Arabidopsis thaliana: one gene and its partner. The protein of the gene in region 1 interacts with the protein of each later gene in a pairwise test. Each region holds a gene or a part of one and is shown on either strand. Other genes may lie near its edges.

Region 1 (5,328 bases):
GCAGGCCGCGTTGCAGCCATGATTGCTGCTGCTAACGTGCAACAGTACCTTGCAAAGATTCAAGCTGATGCGATACCTGAACACTATGAAGCAGAATTGGAAATCAATGATTTCCCACAGAATGCTCGGTGGAAAGTTACCCACAAAGAAACGCTGGGACCAATATCAGAGTGGAGTGGAGCTTCCATTACCACTAGAGGTAAGTTTTATGAGGCAGGACGTATCCCGGGACCTGAGGAACGCAAGCTCTATTTGTTCGTCGAAGGGCCTACCGAAATATCTGTTAAGACAGCGAAAGCTGAACTCAAGCGTGTTCTTGAAGACATAACTAACCAAACCTTCTCCCTTCCTGGAGGAGCACAATCAGGCAGATACTCTGTTTTATAAAATCATGAGGTTTTTGATTCTAGGATTTTTTAAAAATTATTCAGAAAACTAGTAAGTATTGATTGATGTTGTTGAATACTTGAATACATACAATCTCTCCACAATTGCAAAATCTTTTTATAGACTTGACTTGGTTTCCTTATTAAAAACAAAATTCTGAATCAAACCCCATAATATATAAAGAAAGCTGTCAACTTTAAAACAATAGAGTTGCCGTCATTTACTTAACACTGATCTTGAACCATTACACTCAGTCCTAGGACTTATCTTTTACACAAATACACAACAACTGAACAAAAAGTTATGACGAGATTTTAGTACAAGAGTAACGGGTGGATGAGAATGAGGCTGTCTTGCAACTAGTAGAAAAACCCCTTACATATATTATACCTACCATTCACCCAACTAGTCCTGGTCAAAATCTGCGGAAGCCCCCTATAGCTTCAAAACTTGGCTTATGTTTCTCCTCAAAACAACAAAGACCTTTTACACAATTCCCACATGATGATGCAGTGACACGATTGTGATTCCAGTGACGTATAACACCAAAGTTTATTAAACATGGGAAACCAATGAGTAAACCTGCCAATACGGTGAGAACCATATAACTCTTATGCAAGACTTTACAAAGTTTGCAAGAAGCCTGAACTGGTGCTAATACTCAAAATACCGTAGTGTATATATCTTGTATCCCAGACTGTGACTAACTATAGAACTCTTATTGCAAACCTTAGAGTTAGAGAACTGTCACTAGACTTATATCTAACCATGAACTCATGTGACTTCTAATAGTAGTGAAATGTTTTCTTGTACTGAATTTAAAAGGTCAGAGGAAAAAGAGGGAAAAACACTTACTTGCTAGCTGATGGCTCATATTTTTGTTATGCTGATTTGTCGCTTGTTGAGTTCTTGACAAGGGAAACAACGCTTGGGAGCTCGGTCGTCACGTTGTCATATGATAAGAGGACTTTCCTCTGCAGCATCATTACAATCCGACTAGCTGAGGTTAGATTAAATTTGATCACGCAAGCGCAAAAAAACTCATTTCAATGTAAGGAACCAAAGATCATAAAAGAAGTGCCTCCAACTCATTGGTTGAGAGTGAAATAGTTTCAGACTCTGAGAAAGTTGGTCATCACAAATCTTTTATCGCAAATTTAACACTTACAGTGGATTCTAAATCAGGGTTTGATAAGTTAACTGTGAGGTTTCTCATCAATAACAGAACCTGTAAACACCATACTATGTGATTAGTGAAGAAATGCTAAGAGCTTGAACACCAATTAATCTGAAAGCTTGTAAACTCTTGACTCACAGTTTCGAAATTTATAGGATCCATTTCCTTGAGCTTTTCCACATGGCCTCTCGTTTCAGGATCAAAGACACTCCCAATGAAATTATAAACTTCAGCAAAATCAGGAACACCTACAAAGATAGTATCAGTACAGTCTCCATCATGCATAAAAGTTAGTGAAAAAACATGGAATTGTTCACAGATGGTTACCGTGAAGCACTGGAGGCTGTTTAGCCTTTCTTACAATCTCAGAACCTGATACTGTTCGGCTTGAGCTTCCCATGCCAGATGTAGAAGGGCTACTAACATTTAATAAGCCCTTTGATCCAATATCAGCTGAATCAGTGGCGTTATATGCCATAATAAGCACATGAAACGTCCTTTGATGGAACCTATTCTTACTACAACTACCAATAAAATGAAGAAAACAAAAAGGATAGACAAATGTGCATGCCTTCTGCTCCACGAAGAGTAGCAAGTTCATGTTGTGGTGAAATAACTCTGTTTAGCAGCATTGAGGCATCATCCCATGAAGCATATCCCGGCATGTCGCCATTTCGCGTAGTAGTAAAAGACGTGGAAACTTGAAGTGGCATTTGAGCTGCAAGAAAATGTGAGTTAAAAACTCAACTCTATAACCAAACTAAGAAGTATTATAAAATATTCGAACCGTTCTTTGATGCCTTTTGAGGATACGGATGAGCTGCTTTGCGCTTAGGTCGAGGAGGTGGCACATGAGCTAATGTCCCGTTTTTCTGAACCTTGAGAAAGTATTTTTGAGCATGACTCCTTATCTGCAGTACAAAGTCAAATAAGTTGAAAACATTGCCACAAAGTAACTGCGACCAAAAATGCAGAGTAAGCTATTTTAAAACCTGAATCACAGTCTTTGAACCAACAAAATCTTCAATCTTCTTCCAGTCACGATCAAACCTAAGGAACATAGAGGAGTAGTAGTATCAGCAGAATCAGGTCCTAGTTACATCAATAACACTTTCAAAAAGTCAACACAACTATAAATTTATTACAGTTGAAGTGCTCCAAGAAGCAGATCTTTTTAGCTAAGCAGATTTTTTATAGCTAAGTTACTACTAGACCTAAGCTAAGTAACATAAACTTTCCTCTGTTTGTTCAGTCTATAACTAACTAAACTCAGAAATCAGCAGCAAACTAAGAAATTTGAAGTCTCTAAAAACAGAGAAACAGAGATAAATTATTACAGTTGAAGTGCTTCAAGAAACTTATCGTGCTCTTCCTCTGTCCAGCTCTCTCTTGACTTGGTGATGGTATATGGTTTCCTCACTTTCTTAGACGAACCCTCTGCCACAGCATCCGTCGATGTTGGTGGTGGCGGAGGTGCTTCGGCGTTCGTTGGATTTCTTGACGGCGACGAGCTCATCGGTTATTTTTCAGATAAAGACAGGTGTAAGAGAGAATGCAGAGAGAGAAAGTAGGAAAAAGAAAAGTCCACATGGCGGGGAAGAAGTTGGGATGTGTATGTGGAGTAGGTTTCACTTTGATCTCAGACCATCCATTTTTCTGACTTTTTTTATTATTATTTCATTCTTTCCTACCACTTCATTTAGAGCCTCAAGCTTGAAGCACGTGTAGACTTGTAGTCTTTTGATTTCATGAAAATGAATCCAAAAAAACGAAAGAGTTTTATACTTTAATTAAAACAAGTGGCCTAACATTTATCTTTAACTTGCGAGTTTGTGGCCATCAAGCCATACAAGCTTTGGAAAAACCTGGCGGACAAAAGAGCTGAACTCTTCACCTGCAAATATTAGGTCGTTGTCTCTAATATCTAACTGCTTCAGTTTCATCAAATCTCTAAGCACCAAATACGCATCCTAGTATATACCAAGCACCTCTCTTCCAATTTCACCCGAATTAGAGGGCGGCCAAGAACAAAGGTACCTTGTTGTGTCCACTGGGTGCTTGCCGCCCATGTCGTTATGTGAAACATCCAACACTTTAGCTGCTTCAGATGTCTTAGAGAGTCAAGGGATGAAAAGCTCCGATTTAGGCAACAGAGAATTCGGTTTTGTATTCAAATCTTACGAAACAAATACAACAAGTCGATATGTCCGAGTGGTTAAGGAGATAGACTTGAAATCTATTGGGCTTCGCCCGCGCAGGTTCGAACCCTGCTGTCGACGTTTTTTTTTATTATTGATCTTTAATATATAAAATTAAAAGATTCCGAACCATTTGAATTTATACCTCTTCAATACATGGCTGTATATATGTAAGGACCAAGAATAATATACCATCTTCATTACATTAGAAGAAGAAAAAATATTTTGAATCTCTAACAATTTTTTCATTTTAACTGTTTTGATCAAAATGGTCTTTCACCTTCGTAATTCCCGCGTGGATCATATTCACACACCACAAGATAGCCACGACCGTTATGGCATTTCACACGTGCGCATCCAACGGCTGTGGTCTCTCTCCACACCATCTGCGTGTAATGGCCGCACATCTTTCCCGGTGCGCACGTGTTTGTTTTCACGTCGTAGTTAAACCTTTCCTCAAACCATCTCGTCACCACTTTCTCCGGCGACCACGTCTTCTTACGCCGGTGCCAGAAAATGTTCTCACCGTAAGGCCCACCTGAATGTATCATACTGCAATCGGACTTACGTTGTTTAGCCCATTTATCAGCGAATCGGGCCAGGTCTCTGTCCCATCCGAGCGTTGGCACGCCTGAAGAAACACGTGCATCGTTGTGCGCTTGTAGAAATTCTCTCGACAGTTTTGCTCTTCTCGCTCTGTTTACCAAACGCGCCGCCGTGTTCACCGCGTCGGGGATGGAGGTTCCGAGGACGGAGGGATGACCGGAAAAGAGAAGGAAGAGAAGAAGAAGACATGATGATGGATGAGACAACGTTACAGACATCTCCACGTCTCTGTATAATTTTGTCTCTCATCATGATTCCTCTGTTTCTAAGGGAGTTTTTTTTGTTACTTTTGTTCAGTTAGAGATTTTTCCATTTTCTGACATTTTAACAAATTTTCCTGATTCTGTTGTTTCATATCAAACAATTCTTATTGGTGATGATGAGAAAACTACCGTATATTTTTAGATTAAAAAAACGAAATTATTAAGGTTGTTATACTTTTCACAACCCAACAAAAGCTAAAAAGAAAAACAATTCCGTCAACAGCAGGATTCGAACCTGCGCGGGCAAAGCCCAATTGATTTCGAGTCAATCTCCTTAACCACTCGGACATATTGACTTTTGCTCATTGTTTCTACTATATTATATATATACTCAGATATTATCAGTACCAAAATAAACAAACAAAAATAAAAGCTTTTGGAGATAGAAGAAGAGTCTGGGAGAGCTCTTTTACTCATAGCAGTTAAGAAGACATGGAACAGAAAGAAAAAGACAATCCCGAAAGTCGTTTTATTTTCTTAAATATTTAAAACAAGATAGCAGACGAAGTATTAAGCAACAAAATCCATTACACTTATTTAAAATCATTATAAGCCAAAATAGACGGCCTATAAGCAATCACCAGTCTTCCTACTCTTCATTGGTCTTCATCTTCCGCAGGACTAAGGTCGTCTCTTGGGCTGTATCCGTCTCTAGGACAACGGTCCTCTCTGGGACTAGGACTCTGGTCTTCATAAT
Region 2 (5,385 bases), about 17 Mb from region 1:
GAAGATTACATACAGTAAAGAGCCTGTTGGGGATTTTGTGACATACCGATGCATCATCTGAACTCTGAAGAAAGGCAAATTCGTTGCAGCTACTCTATGATTAACTAAGACACTCCTGTTACCTATTTCTTCTCCTCAAAACAGTACTTTATGTGTCCTTGGTGTGTGCTTACAATTGTATTAAGAGATTGAATCTGGTTTCGAATGGGGGAAAAACATTGCAAACTACACGTTTTCCAAAATGTAGTTGTCATGGAGATACGTATAACAAAAGAGGTTTTCGAAAAGTAACAAAAAAAAAAAAATCTAATTACAAGAATAAGAGCTTCACAAGAAAGGAGCAGTCAGGAGATTGTTTCAAGAGACGCAGAAAGATGCTGTCTAGTCTGCAGAAATACCCAAAGCTCCTCTCTAACACGGCAACCTAAACTGATTGAAAGCAAAAGCAACACCTGCGTATTAGTTACAATCTGTATACAAGCTCTATGCACGTATACAAAAGGGCATGGAAACGATTTATAGAGTTATAGTATGGAAATAACAACCTTCTAAATTTCACAATTTTCTTTTGTTTCCTTGGGATGCTTCAACAACCCTCTCACCAACAGTACTACTAGATCCAGAGTTGGGTGCATTCCCCAAAGCAAGTGAATCTGCAGGTCCTTCTTCCTTTTGAGCTTTCTGCTTAGTTAAGTGAGTCTCTCGTATGCTGCATTTAGGAAAATTCCCTTTTTCTTCAGTTCCCATCTTCGAAGAAGCGGGTGATTCTGGTCCTTCCATTCGCTTTGCCGCCAACATATCAAAAGGCCTATGAAAGAGCAAATGAGCCACAGTTCTGTCTGTGGGGTTGGTCACTGCTTCTGTATCTGGCATCCCAGCATATCTGTAAATATCAAATACAAAAGCTAGTTATGTAAACCACAATTTGATTGATAGTGATGATGAACTCGGTAGCATTTATTAAAAAGGTTAACCCCCATTTACGAAAAAGTATGCTTGTAGTTTTACTAGTTTACATTGTCTAAGTACGAAGTTAACCATATTGAATAATACGCATAAATTTGCTTACCTATATCTGGATTCTTCTCTGGGAATGACTTCCTGGTCATCCTGGCTAGTCTTGTTACTGTGGGATGTATCACTAGTGTAATGTCTCTGAGCTGCACTACCAGCCAACCGGAATAAGCTATCCCGTATACAAGTCCGTGTTCCCATATCCAACTGCAGGTCAATAAAGAGTATTAGTTTACTCCCAACACAAACATAACAAGTCAATCAACCATTTGAGTACCTTTGCTACAACATCCTGAAGCCGATAAAGAACTGCGAATTCTGCTGAATTATCAACAGCAGCAGCAAATTTGCCAGAATCATCTTGTTCCAAAGATGAACTAGGATCAAAGGAAGGCATTGCAGTTAGCCCTTGGAGATTAGTTTTGTCGACAAGCTGGAGTGGAATATCTTGGAGACAGTTTTGAGTAATGGATTGATCTGCTACAGGCACCTGATGAGAAAATTGCTGCTGTTGTCTCTGAATGGCAAGCATTGCCTGCATTTGCTGTCTGCGTCTAAGTTTTTCTAGTTTTTCCTGTGGTGTCATTGTTGAAGGCCGTGCAGAGGCATCTGTTGCCATGTTTACTGAGGTAGCAGTAGCAGGATTGTAGGAAGGATGCATCAACTGATTCCTAACATCAGGATGTTGGACGGCCGAAATTACAGGCACACTAGAATATGGATTTGCAAGATTACCAAAAGCAGAATTAGCCATGTATTGGTTTGGCATATGTGAATAGTGTGATGTCCCAGACCCCTCAGACTCACTCAGGAGATTAACAGCCATCAGAGACGATTGTGGCGGTGCCAACTGATTTACACATTTTCCAGCTGAATTACTAAATGGAATCCTCTGACCGTACAGCTCTTGAAAGGGCCTTGCCTCAGAAGTCCCAGGCATTTTCGAAAACTTCATCATTTTATTTTGTTGATATGGCTGGTCAGAAAAAGGAAAATGAAACGAAAAAGGCTCAGTGGAGCTGTACAAATGAGAATGCATAAGAATTTGACGACATAGTTCATGCTACAGATCCACATTGGCAGAAACTAGGTACATACTTTCATTCAATTTATCATAAACGTGTGAGCAATAACCAGCAGTCTGCTACGCATAGTACCTGGTCCTCAACTGAGGGTTGACCCTTATGCTCACGATATTGGTCAGCCTTAAGAGTTACACGTACACTTGGGACACTTTGGGATGACAGACCATTGGCTTTTCCAGTCAATGGAAATTGCTGGTTCTCTTGTTGCTCAAACTCAGTTCTAATATCCAATCCTAGATCTTGAGAGTCCAACATTGATGATAATGATTTTGGGCTATTGGATACATCTTTAGAAGATGACCATAACTCATCACCACCGCTGAGACTGCCATCACCAAATATAGGGACATCATTGCTGCAAAACCATCACTTGTGAGGATATTGTGTTAGAGGCCAATGTGCATGAAACAAATTGGACACAAGAAATAAGGAGCTAGTATTTTTTTCATTATTACACCTTTCCACCATATTCACATCTGGTATCTTATAGTTCTAAGACGAAATCAAGTCAGTAAATAACACATTTTATACATGGTAGAAAAGGAGTATGTCATTGAAAAGTTACCGCCTAGCACAGTGAGGATGAGAAGTCGTTTTACCTGAACATTCGATCAAGATCATCAAAACTACCAATGTTGGCCCAGCTGTAGTCATCAAAATCACCTTGCTCTTTACTCTCATCAGAGCTATGAAAAATATCAGGGCCTTTCCCAAGTTCAGACGTTTTCTCTGGTAAAAACAGAGTGAGCACACAACTTTTAAAATGATTAGATTGGAAAGAACGTACCCAAGTAAAACATGACTGTTTCAAGAGAAACGCACCACCTCTTGTTGAATCATATCTGACTGGCTCAGCTAAGCATTTTGAAAGTTCAGTCGCACTCAAATCTTGATCAACCTTTGTAGCATTAGTTAGCGACGTGTCAGGCCATGAGCTCATACAGAAATCTGGCTGAGGAAGCCCCTCATCAACATTATGGCTCGAACTGCTCCCCAAATTTTTATCATGGAGGTCAATTTTAGTCCCAGTTATCTTTTGCTCAGCTGTCTTAGATTCCTCAATCTGTTCCTTTTTGTTAAGTTGTTCACTTCTGACTTTAAAAGGCACAATATGGTCGCCTGTCTCAGCATCATCACCCCATATCATATTAGTAAGCTGAAAAGTAGGTTAAGACCATAAAACAAGTAGGGATCAGGCACAAAGCAAGTATTAACAACAAGCCACCAAAACTAAAATATTTAAGAACCAATGATACTAGAGACTGATAAATTACAGGATGAGTGATTCAAAACCTGATCGTTAACCAAATCCATAAGAAAACAGAATTATACTGATTCCACATAAAAATTCGTATATATAGCAACAGAAGAAACTTACCTCTTCTTCTTCCCAATCAAACATGACTGGAGAAACAAAATCGAATCACAGACCCAAAATCAAGCTCCCTGATTGCTCCACACATCGCCAGCTCCACAACGAAAAAAATCCAGGAAAAAACAACAAGATCAACAAATCGGATAACGTAAATCCACACACAATAATAAAGTGGAAAAAACGATAAATAAAAGAATATTAAACTGAAAAAGCAACAAGCTTTGAAAAACCTTGATTCAGCAGAATCCTCCTTCGTGCTCAAAGGATATGGGAAGAGAAAGGAGTTACAGTGGAAAAAAGAAAAAAGAGTTTTTTTTTGTATGAAATGGTCACGTGCCAAACGAGTGGCTGAGAGAGAACGGGTTGCCACGTCAGACGAGAAGGCCGTATCTAAACATGTGGCTGAGAGTAAACACGACTTGATTCCATGACAGCTCATTTTGACTTTCCCTGGCTGTGGTCTTTTGTTGACGTTTTTTTAATATTTTCATGTTATATCGGATTAGTGTTCGAGAAAAGAAGAGACACACAATTGGGTAAATATGTTTTTAAAAGAGTGGAACCAGTGTTCAACTTTTAGATTTGGTGGGGTTTGAGTTCATAGCGACCACAATTTTTATCTTATATGTTTTAACTAATTTAGCTTTCATTGATATCCACTTTTTCAAAAGTATTTGCTTGGATCAGTTTATTGAAAAGGAACTAATGCGTTATCCTGAACAGTTCATAACGAAACAGTGGATATAAATGGTTGCAATTGATATATATTTTTTAATAAGTGTGTTTATTTTTCAATTATAATGAAATCGTTTTCGTCCTTGATGACTAGGTTGAAAATTTTCAGACCTTGTTAATAGGCTTTGTGCCTCGATTGTTTATGCGTTTGTTTATCTTGTGTTTGTACTTTGTATTTCGAGATTAAAACGAATTGTTGGTAGGGGTTACTCTTGTTTCAGAAATGATCACGAGTTACGTTAGACACATATTAAGCAGTAAACATTGTTGCTAGCTTGTGATAGATCATAGATAGAGTGAGTCTGAGACAAAAGCAAATTAGTGTATATATCAAAAATAGAAATGTGCTACAAACCCGTTATTGCTGACTTGATAAATTTGTACTTGTTACATGCGCAAGATTTTAGTGATCTACAATCATGAAAGACGCTAGAGAATATGTTTCTAAGAAACTGGTACAAGAAAAAAATTATGTTGTATACAAAATAAAATAAAAATATTAACATAAAAAAGAGTGATGATCTTGTCTTTTAAATCTACCAATTTAGCCACTAAACAAATTCCTTTCGTTCATCAAAGTCCACAAATTCACTGAAAGTAATGATTCCAAGCATTTTTTCCCACCAATTCAACAATTTTTAAGTACAACACTTTAGTGATTCTAATTTACAAAAATAACATTTTGTTGTAAAACAAATTTAGTAGTACTAGAAATTTCCTTTTCAGGGAGATGCAAAAATTCAATTATCACACTGCTATTTTGGTCGAGGTGTAATAAAAAAACAAGGAGACAATTGCGGCGTGGAGGCTTTCTGTTTACATGCAGCACAAGAAGGGCCACATGACATGACATCATGTGACTCTGTTTCCCATAGTCAGAGAAAAGAAAAAATATGACGCCAGAAAGCTTGTTAGCGTCGGCGTCGATCAACATAGGACTCGCCGTCGTTGCACTCTGGCTCTTCTCCGTCCTCAAGAAGCAGCCCCGTAACGCCGTCGTATACTATGCTCGCCGCCTCTCCGATCGCCACCACCACCGTCCTCTGTCTCTACACTCATCCCTTTGCCTCCCTCGTTTCCTTCCTTCCGTTGCGTGGATCCCACGCGCCTTCCGTGTCCCCGAGGACGAGATCCTCAGCCGCCACGGCCTTGATGCTCTCGTCCTCATCAGGCTCT

What was found. Proteins that work in one complex are often made in the same cells at the same time.
Region 2: the proteins of RVE8 (region 1) and AT3G54500 interact in a protein complementation assay, tested with the Arabidopsis thaliana proteins (one study listed by BioGRID).

What each region holds. Positions count from the first base shown.
Region 1 is NC_003074.8:2,944,211-2,949,538, reverse strand, and holds RVE8 (Homeodomain-like superfamily protein), read right to left. Parts: upstream 3,301-5,328; 5' UTR 3,081-3,300; coding exon 2,902-3,080; exon of another isoform or gene 2,626-2,901; coding exon of another isoform or gene 2,615-2,625; coding exon 2,557-2,614; intron 2,476-2,556; coding exon 2,352-2,475; intron 2,283-2,351; coding exon 2,136-2,282; intron 2,018-2,135; coding exon 1,892-2,017; intron 1,813-1,891; coding exon 1,703-1,812; intron 1,616-1,702; coding exon 1,556-1,615; coding exon of another isoform or gene 1,523-1,555; exon of another isoform or gene 1,384-1,522; coding exon of another isoform or gene 1,362-1,383; coding exon 1,269-1,361; 3' UTR 1,243-1,268; exon of another isoform or gene 970-1,242; 3' UTR 522-969; downstream 1-521. Other genes in the region: AT3G09620 (P-loop containing nucleoside triphosphate hydrolases superfamily protein), read left to right, coding at 1-387; AT3G09590 (CAP (Cysteine-rich secretory proteins, Antigen 5, and Pathogenesis-related 1 protein) superfamily protein), read right to left, coding at 4,026-4,586. UniProt on the Arabidopsis thaliana protein: Transcriptional activator of evening element (EE)-containing clock-controlled genes. Forms a negative feedback loop with APRR5. Regulates the pattern of histone H3 acetylation of the TOC1 promoter.
Region 2 is NC_003074.8:20,175,237-20,180,621, forward strand, and holds AT3G54500 (agglutinin-like protein), read right to left. Parts: upstream 3,792-5,385; 5' UTR 3,502-3,791; coding exon 3,478-3,501; exon of another isoform or gene 3,256-3,477; coding exon 2,699-3,255; exon of another isoform or gene 2,469-2,698; coding exon of another isoform or gene 2,455-2,468; coding exon 2,172-2,454; intron 1,991-2,171; coding exon 1,292-1,990; intron 1,222-1,291; coding exon 1,070-1,221; intron 884-1,069; coding exon 556-883; downstream 1-555. Other genes in the region: RPB5E (RNA polymerase II fifth largest subunit, E), read left to right, coding at 1-61; AT3G54510 (Early-responsive to dehydration stress protein (ERD4)), read left to right, coding at 5,103-5,385. UniProt on the Arabidopsis thaliana protein: Transcriptional coactivator necessary for expression of the clock genes PRR5 and TOC1. Antagonizes REV8 function in the regulation of anthocyanin accumulation. Involved in red light input to the clock. Activates clock-controlled genes with afternoon peak.